2 linked regions of the Danio rerio genome follow. The protein of the gene in region 1 interacts with the protein of each later gene in a biochemical or structural test. Links are inferred from orthologs where the notes say so. Each region holds a gene or a part of one and is shown in the gene's direction. Other genes may lie near its edges.

Region 1 (4,519 bases):
TGCTTCGGGTTCCCCCACTGTCGAATCCAATGCATAAAGCATATGCTGTAATAGTTGGCGGTTAATTCTGCTGTGGTGACCCCTGGTAAATAAGAGACTAAGCTGAAGGAGAATGAATGAATGCTGATATAAATTGGTGAGCGTATGTGAGATTTCTCCTGAAAACATTTAAAAGCAGCTTCTGACCTACAAAATTGCTTGTTTAGTCATTTTAGTATTATTTTCTAACAGCACCCAAATGCTCACACAGAAGATCCTGCTTTTGTCTCTCCAGGTAAAGACTCGCTTCAAGAAGTTCCTCAAATCCTTGTTTCAGCGCATGTTAGAGGAGCACGGCTCTGCGTTGAGCTCTGCGCCATCGGAAGCAGATCAGCCTGTGATCGCTGGACTGGCAGACGATGGAGCACAGAACGTACCCGTCCACGCTCTGATGGTCAGTCACGGGGCGTTTATCCGCGTATCTGTGCGTCATCTGGTGGAGGATCTGCAGTGCTGTCTGCCCGCAGGTCTTAAGATGAACCAGGTGTTTTCTCCATGTCCAAACACTGGCATCAGCAGGTTCATCTTCACCATCCATAGGGAAGAGAGTGTCCTGCGGGCCACACGCATACAGGGGGTCTTTATCAACAGAAAAGACCACCTGGAGGAAGTCAAAAACTCTGACTGACAGGGCTCACTAAGACTGCTTGATTTGACAGTTTGTATTGCAAACCCAGCAACTGAAGCACATTACAAGTCTGTGTGTTTGATTTTATCATGAGTATTATTTAAATGCAGTTTTGTGAGCTGGCTGAACGTAAACACTCATAAGATGTCTTTTTTGATGTCGTCCATTATTTAAGCACTTTAAAGTTGCACCACCGCAGTTTTGGCCTCTATATTCACACGTAATGTGTACACGTATTCGTTTTCATGCAATAAAAGAAATGCTGAAACTTGAAATCAAGGAAGTTTGATTTGTTTTTGGATTTGTAAGTTAGTAGTAAGTATTTTCCCTTGGAAATGTATACTTTGTGTGCAGAGAAAATATTTGAATGTATTGAAAAGTGTATTGAAATGAATCAAAGTATGCTTGAAATAAAAAAAAAATGGACAGTCAAGTCAGGGAAATGGCGTAGCATATTTCTCACAGTTAAATTAATCATTTTAATTTCTTCTTTTGTTAATTATTGTTTTTAAAAGTGAAGCTAAAGCAGTGATTTTAATGTGAGCTTACAATCACTTAAGATAAACAACAGCATTGTTCATAGACTACTAGCACTTTTAAAAGCAAAAACTATTCATGTATAATTTAGTTATTTTGCTTCTTTACTATATTTATCTAGATTTAAGAATGTTCAGTGTTTACCAATGTGTTTACATGTCTGTGATATAAAATTATATTAGCCTAAAGTAGGCCTAATTGAAACAAAAAAACAAAATATTGAATCAAAAGTCCTTACCTTGGCCATTAAATTGATGTTCTGCTGTTGTTCACCATAATATTAGCGTAGCAATTCTCTCCGACTCGCTCAGAAATTGAAGGTTAAAAACAATACGTCATAAAAAACAACATGTGACGTAAATACACACTTCGTTTGCTGAAAAAGTAATCACGTCAGCGGTCGGAGTGCGTGAACGCGCATGGCAAATTAACGGTCGATGAGTTCAGAATTTTCGCTAATAATACATCAAATTGCGTTTTATTTTTTACCATATACGCTCAGAACACTTGAAATTAATGGATTGTGTCGTGTATGACCATCCTTTAAAACGTTTTATCAAAACTATAGTCATGGACGAGAGCGAGCACGACGTTTTAACTGAATTTTCAAACATGTAACGTTAACTTAGCCTAGATAGTGTGCTTTGTCTGCTGTTTTTTTTCCACAGAGTACAGAAGGACATGACTTGTCTTGAAAAACACCAAGGTAAGTTAAATAATGTCTGCGTTTTATATTTTTTGGTTGACGTTCATTCATTCTTTCATTCAAACTTTATTTATAAAGCACTTAACCACCAAAGTGCAGTAACGTTACAGTCTAACGAGTTAACGAGTCAGATATACGTACACACTATGCACACTATTTAAAACAAACATAAAATCAAGTGCCAAAGGTTAAGGGAAAAGATTTTGAGAGGTTTTGAGATGGGATATGAACAAAGACAACGTTTTTGATGTTATTATTATTGAATATAAGAATAATAACATCACTGCATTGAAGAAAAAAATAATAACAAAAAAACAAACAAACAGAAAACAATACAAACTTTACAAAGCCTCAATTTTTAAGAAAAAAAAGATTATCATAAGCTTTAGGAAACTTATTTTTCTTATTATTAATAATAAGAGATTCAGTTTCTGCAAGTAAAAGTATTAAATCTAGGGACTGCCTTTAGAAACTTATTTTTGTGTGAAAAATATTAAGAGTGGAACAAATAATAATAACAAGAAGATGGAGAGCATGATCATTGCCTGAGAGATACAGAAATATATCTTTTATAGACAAATTTAAATCATATTTAAATAAGGACGATAAATAAAAAATCTTATTCCAAAGACGTGAGTGATTGAGTGCAACTATAGAATAAGTGAAATAAAGTCTCTTCATGTTTATTACAGAAAGTACACAAATTAGATAGTTCAAAATAAATAGCAATTTGGGAATTTGTAGGATATACATATGAAAATCTTAAAATGTATCTCTCTTTGTTGGACATGCTGAATTTTTTAGGTAATAACCATGCTCTCTTCCATTGAATGCTGTCAGAGGAATTGGCCCAGAAATATGTACATCTTTGGGAGGTATAGAGTAATGTAACAATCGTCTGACATGTCGGTTGTCACATTTTTTTTAATCAAAAAAAGAATCTCCATCCAAAAAAAAAAAGTTTAGGTGTAATTGTTTTCCCCTCATTGAAGTAAAGAAACATTTGAAATAAATTCACATAACTTGACATGGCGGCGCAGTAGGTAGTGCTGTCGCCTCACAGCCAAGAAGGTCGCTGGTTCGAGCCTCGGCTGGGTCAGTTGGCATTTCTGTGTGGAGTTTGCATGTTTTCCCTGCGTTCGCATATTCCTCCGGGTGCTCCGGTATCACCCACAGTCCAAAGGCGTGGTACAGGTGAATTGGGTGAGCTAAATTGTCAGTAGTGTATGAGTGTGAATGATTGTGTGTGATTGTTTTCCAGAGATGGGTTGCAGCTGGAAGGGTATTTGCTGCGTAAAGACCATAGACTGTAAAATATAGGTAAAGACGTGCTGGATAAGTTGGCGGTTCATTCCGCTGTGGGGACCCCGGATTAATAAAGACAATAAGCCGAAAATAAAATAAATGTGTGAATGAACTTGGTGACAAAACTATATATAACACAATTGAAGGTTGTGGCTGGCAGACGGAAATTATACCATAAACTCATAAACTCCTCATATTCCAGAATATTGCCATAATTTTTTTAATTAGTCCAAAACAAAAACAAACCACCTATCAATAAAAAGAGATTTCTCATGAATTAAGACTTTAAAGTTATTCCTAAGTATTTCTTTGTGTGGGGAAAATAAACAAAGACAACGAAGGAGCCAGTCTAATGGAAAGTGACGTAATGCATATTAGGGTATACTATTTTCAATTTCATATTTTATTGGATTATATCGATTATGCGATGGTATGTATGTGTAAACCTATTAGTGATCAGAAGGTAAAATATCAAATGTCCATCATAAAAATGGGCATTTGAAGATTGTATTTATATTGATCGTCAGATCCTATGATTTTAGGCTAATTGAATTGTGTCTCCTCATCCAATAGATGGCGCTGTGCTACTGACCTCTGGAGGACAGATGTGCCAACCTGCTGATGGGTAGGAGAATGGGACACGTCTTCTCTGCCGCCCACTCCAACAGGAAACATTCACCATCTTTGGTCCCTCATTTTCTCCGGCGAGGGAAACTTAGTGATCTTCTAAGGCTTGTCATTTTCCTGCCGGTAAGTGGGCGGCAATTTGGTTGAGTTGGTCACGCAGGGGACCTGGACGACTCAAAAGCACTGACTGACGTCCTGCAATCCAAGCAGACGATAGACTAGTTTGTGGCCACACATTCTTCAACTCCTCCAGACGATCCTAAAATATCTGCTCAGACAAATCACATTTCTTACATGCACATGTGTTCATGCTGAAGCTGCCAATGTGCTCATCATCAAAGCTCTGCAGCAGCAGCTTCAGGTATGTTATTGTCCAATATGTTTGTACACTCAAACAGCTGCTGTGTCCATAGACAGGAAAAGGCCACTTCTATATAAAACCCTGCAGTTTTATTTAGTTTCCACAGTTTAGACACCCAAACAAAGCCACGTGCCCACAATGTTTTGTTCTGCTGCAGTTCCACTTAACTGTTTGGTTTGTTTTTCCCAGCGGGTCAGTCTGATCCTCCAAACCCAACAATCAAACTAGACAAGTGTAGACTTGATAAGACCACCAAACAATATTACACTTTTTTTTTCGTTCATGTCGGGAAACCTGTTTTTAATTATCATTTTTA
Region 2 (4,563 bases), on another chromosome or scaffold:
AATCAGAATTTGTGTGTGACTCATCAAATGACCAAATATCTCTGTTTCTGTGACTGACTGCTGATAACCTGATGTGATGCAGCAGGAGTTGCAGACATGCGGGAACGGTGCAAAAAGAACCTGCTGATATGTGCAATATGCAGTAGTAGCCTAAGTATTGCAAACTACAGTTAAAGTCAGAAATTCCCTAAATATTTCCCAAATGATGTTTAACAGAGCAAAGAAATTTTCACAGTAGGTCTGATAGCATTTCTTTCTTCTGTAAAAAGTCTTATTTGTTTTATTTTGGCTAGAATAAAAACAGTTTTAGGGTTTAGTAATTAAAACCATAAGGTCAAAAGTATTAGCCCCTTTAAGCTATATTTTTTTCTAGTCTACAGATCAAACCATCATTATAAAATAACTTTCCTAATTACCCTAACCTGTCTAGTTAACCTAATTAACCTAGTTAAGCCTTTAGAAGTGTCCTGAAAATATTTAGTCAAATAATATTTACTGCCATCATGGCAAAGATAAAATAAATCAGTTATTAGAAATGAATTATTAAAACTATTATGTTTAGAAATCTGCTGAAAGAATCTTCTCTATATTAAACAAATTGGGGGAAAAATAACCAGGGGGTCTTTTAATTCAGGGGGTTTAATAAATACTTCAACTGTACATATTTGTCTTAATATTTTGTTTAAAATTTATTTATGAAGTAAATAAATTTCAGTTCTTGTTGTTTGAGTTTCCCAAAACCTTTTTTGAGTCCTTTGCCACCAAATATATACATTTCGAATAAATATTTTTTTAAGACTCACAAATAAAAAAGCTTTTGTTGCATTCAAAATAGTTTATCCAGCTGACATTTTCTTAGTCATTTTTCTTAAAAAAAAATTTTACAGTATAACAATTAATTATAAATTATTCCAATCTTTATATAAAGCTGTGCGGCACTGCAAAGCACTGTGGGTTTGTAGTAGTGGATTGGTTTGTGCTGGAAGGAGACCTCAAGCTGCAGCAACCTGATTCATCCTGTGGAGATCCAGTGGGGAAGAAGGAAGTGGACAAAATTAAGGTGGAGGACAAGAAGGAAGAAAGAGGAGGACGAGATGGAGGATACAATAATTGAGAAGGAGTAGGTGGAAGATAAGATTAAGAAGGAGAAGAAGATTAAAAAGAAAATGAATGGAGGGAAAGGGAGAAGAAAAAAGGGGGAAGATAGAGAAGGCAATGATAGAAAAGGAGGAGGTGGATGACAAGATTAAGTAGGAGGAGAAGATTAAAGAGAAGAATGATTGAAGGAGAGGGTGAAGGAAAAAGATGAAGAGAAGATGGAGGAGAATGATGGAGAAGGAGGAAGTGGATGGCGATTAACGAGGAGAAGATTAAAGACAAGAATGATTGAAGGACAGAAAAGGAAAAAAGAAGAGACGATGGATAAGGAGGAGGTGGATGACAAGATTAAGGAGGAGGAGAAGTTTAAATAGAAAAAGGATTGAAGGAAAGGGAGAAGGAAAAAAGAGGAAGAGGAGATGGAGAAGGATGGAACACAATGAGAAAACAATAAAAATATATTTATTCAACAATGTACTTTATTGTGTCTGGTGTTGTGATTATTTCCTCTTTATGTATAATTTAAGTGCTAAAAAATACACACATGCTGCAAAGCTGAAGTATTCGTCATCATACCTTTATTTAATTTTCATGCTTATAGTTGTGTTTGTTTAATTATCACCTACCTTTGAAATAAAATCTTTCCTAAACAAGTTTCAAATTAAAATGTAACATTTTATCTGTAACAATAAACCTAAAAAATTAGTTTGTATGTTTTTGGTCAATTTTTGTCATTAAAGGTAAAACAGAGATATTTTAACAATTTAACAACAACAGTGTAAAAAGCAGTTTAAAACGACATTTATTTATTTATTTATTTATTTATTTATTATACATTTTTTTATGTAGCAAGCTTGCTTGGGCGCGGGACTGATGCGCGTGCACGCCGAGCCAAAGTGTCAACATACGATTGTGGCGCGAAATTTCTTTCAGCTTCTTCTCAGGAATAAACGACAGGTAAAATGTAATTTCTGTTCTAAAAAAAATTAAAAATAATTAATTAACAACGTTATGACAAGGAACAAGACACATTTTTTTATCACAGCGCTTCAACAAAACGTACATGTAAATTAGCCGGTTTAGCCGCAAGTTTTAAATGATTTATGGTAAACTTGTTACCAAATTACGTGGTTAATAGCATGCCAAATCACAGGTATTTTATTATAACTTAAACGTTCTTTTTGTCTCATTCAAAGTATGAAAGTTTTGGAGGAACAAACTTTGGAAGAGGAGTCGGGATACCAAGATGATGAGGTGATTTACATTCATTTTCAGGCAGCCACAGCCCATTCAATCGTGCAAAAACATGCTTTTTTATTTAACCGTGTTAGGTCTTGTGTTTATAAAAAATATAACATCATAATGGTGCATAAAGCAAAACACTCATGTCAAAACCATAAAATACAACTGTACAGTAAAGTGGTGTACAGTTCTAACACAGCCTAAACATTAAATGGAATAGTCGTTATTAATACATATTAGAGGTATCTCTTTTTTTACTTCATAATTCAGAAAAAGACTGTAACCAGTAACAACAATAAAGTATTGTAGAATAAAATACTGTTTATAATCAGGCTAATTATGAGCACATCGATCTGTTAAAACCTTCAGATTAAAGATATGAATAAAACTAAAGTTGGTTAAAATGAATGCTGCTAAAGTGGAGATTTATGGCACAGTACAGAAGAGGAAAACTCATTTTGATTGACAATATTGAAATTGAAATCCACTGCCCAATGAAAAAAAAATGTGTGATAAAAGAAACACTCACATTGTATTTTGGCTGTTATCTTTACATAAGACTGATAAACACTTTATGAAAACCCCAAATTCTCAAAACTGACAAGCACATGATTTTTTAACCTACAGTTTCTCAACTTAAATCTGAAAATCCCCACTTGTTTTTTATTTATTTGTTGTTTCTATGTAATGTGATGAACATTTGCTATCAAATCTCTTCCAGGAATCCTTTTTTCAAGACATTGAGCTCTTGCAGAAGCATGGCATTGTAAGTAAAATGTTGTTATTATGAAGTTATGAAATGATCATGAAAGTGGTTCTCACCCATAATGATCTTTCTGAAGAACGTGGCCGACATAAAGAAACTGAAGTCTGTAGGGATTTGTACGGTGAAAGGCATCCAGATGACCACACGCCGTGCTCTCTGTAACATAAAGGGACTTTCTGAAGCTAAAGTGGACAAAATTAAAGAAGCCGCTGGAAAGTTGCTGGTAATTTGATGTGTTGGTTGACATGATTTATATATTTTTTGCTGTATTTTGTAACTACTCATCGATCAAGGAGGTTGTAAATGTAATATGTTCTGTTCATTCATGCAGACATGCGGATTCCAGACAGCATCTGAATACTGCATCAAGAGAAAGCAAGTGTTTCACATCACAACTGGCAGTTTGGAGTTTGAGTAAGAAGCTTTATAGGTCTTACATTTTTAGACACCAAATTTTATTTGTGGCTAGAATTTGTTTTTGTGTGGTGAACTGAACAATTTAAGTATAATCTACAAAACTGGCAAGGTAAATAAACTGAAATATGTAAGTTTTGGAGGACTCATTTACTCCAATAAACTGAGGCAAAGAGTTTACTTTATTCATTTAGTTCAGTCAACTTATTAAGGTTTTCAGTGTACAAGCAGTAACATGTTGTTTTATATATGTTTTCCGATGAAAGTCTTACATTGTTGACATGAAAGGAGAAACGGTTTATTCATATTTACTTTAGCAAACTCCTTGGAGGAGGTGTGGAGAGTATGGCCATCACCGAGGCTTTTGGTGGTAGGGTGATGTTTTGATTTGAAACCATAATGATATGTTAGGCATTTTCCGTACATCACTTCTGCCAAAATGATATGTTTTTGTCTTTGTGAATTGTTTCCCATGCCTCATTTAGAATTCAGAACTGGAAAGACTCAGCTCTCACATACTCTGTGTGGTAAGAATGAATCTTGTGTAAATGTTAAATGCGGAATTTAATTCTCATTTTTAGACCATTCACATCATTTTGTTTTCTTTTTTCCCTTCAGTTACTGCTCAGCTTCCTGGGGAATTTGGGTACACAGGAGGAAAGGTCATCTTCATTGATACCGAAAACACCTTGTATCATTTGTGCATTTGCTTGCTGTGTGTGAGTGATTCATTTTACTAAATCCATTTCATATGGAGAAGTCATTCTGAACTTTTTACCTTAATAATTGTGAACATCAGTCGGCCTGAGAGGCTGAAGGACATCGCTGACAGATTCAATGTGGATCATGAAGCTGTTCTGGACAATGTGCTTTATGCACGTGCGTATACCAGTAAGAATAGCTGCTACTTCTTTGTTTAGTTTTTGTGTGTCATTTTACTTGAGAATCTATTTGGCTAGACAAAGAGGAGCCACAAAATGTGTGTTGTGTGTTTTGTTACAAATCTGTCTCTATTTTTAATTTTTGAGGTGAGCATCAGATGG

Evidence for each region. The genes of interacting proteins can lie anywhere in the genome.
Region 2: the proteins of rad51ap1 (region 1) and dmc1 form a complex in vitro, tested with the Homo sapiens proteins (2 studies listed by BioGRID and IntAct). The link is inferred for Danio rerio from reciprocal best matches to the Homo sapiens genes RAD51AP1 and DMC1.

What each region holds. Positions count from the first base shown.
Region 1 is NC_133179.1:5,640,043-5,644,561, reverse strand, and holds the start of rad51ap1 (RAD51-associated protein 1), read left to right. Parts: upstream 1-1,566; 5' UTR 1,567-1,910; exon of another isoform or gene 1,911-1,967; intron 1,968-3,788; 5' UTR 3,789-3,965; intron 3,966-4,049; 5' UTR 4,050-4,150; coding exon 4,151-4,203; intron 4,204-4,519. UniProt on the Homo sapiens protein: Structure-specific DNA-binding protein involved in DNA repair by promoting RAD51-mediated homologous recombination.
Region 2 is NC_133187.1:21,020,594-21,025,156, forward strand, and holds the start of dmc1 (meiotic recombination protein DMC1/LIM15 homolog), read left to right. Parts: upstream 1-1,638; 5' UTR 1,639-1,838; intron 1,839-1,947; 5' UTR 1,948-2,055; intron 2,056-2,294; 5' UTR 2,295-2,295; coding exon 2,296-2,352; intron 2,353-3,061; coding exon 3,062-3,106; intron 3,107-3,182; coding exon 3,183-3,329; intron 3,330-3,437; coding exon 3,438-3,520; intron 3,521-3,837; coding exon 3,838-3,890; intron 3,891-4,005; coding exon 4,006-4,047; intron 4,048-4,138; coding exon 4,139-4,211; intron 4,212-4,319; coding exon 4,320-4,411; intron 4,412-4,548; coding exon 4,549-4,563. UniProt on the Homo sapiens protein: Participates in meiotic recombination, specifically in homologous strand assimilation, which is required for the resolution of meiotic double-strand breaks.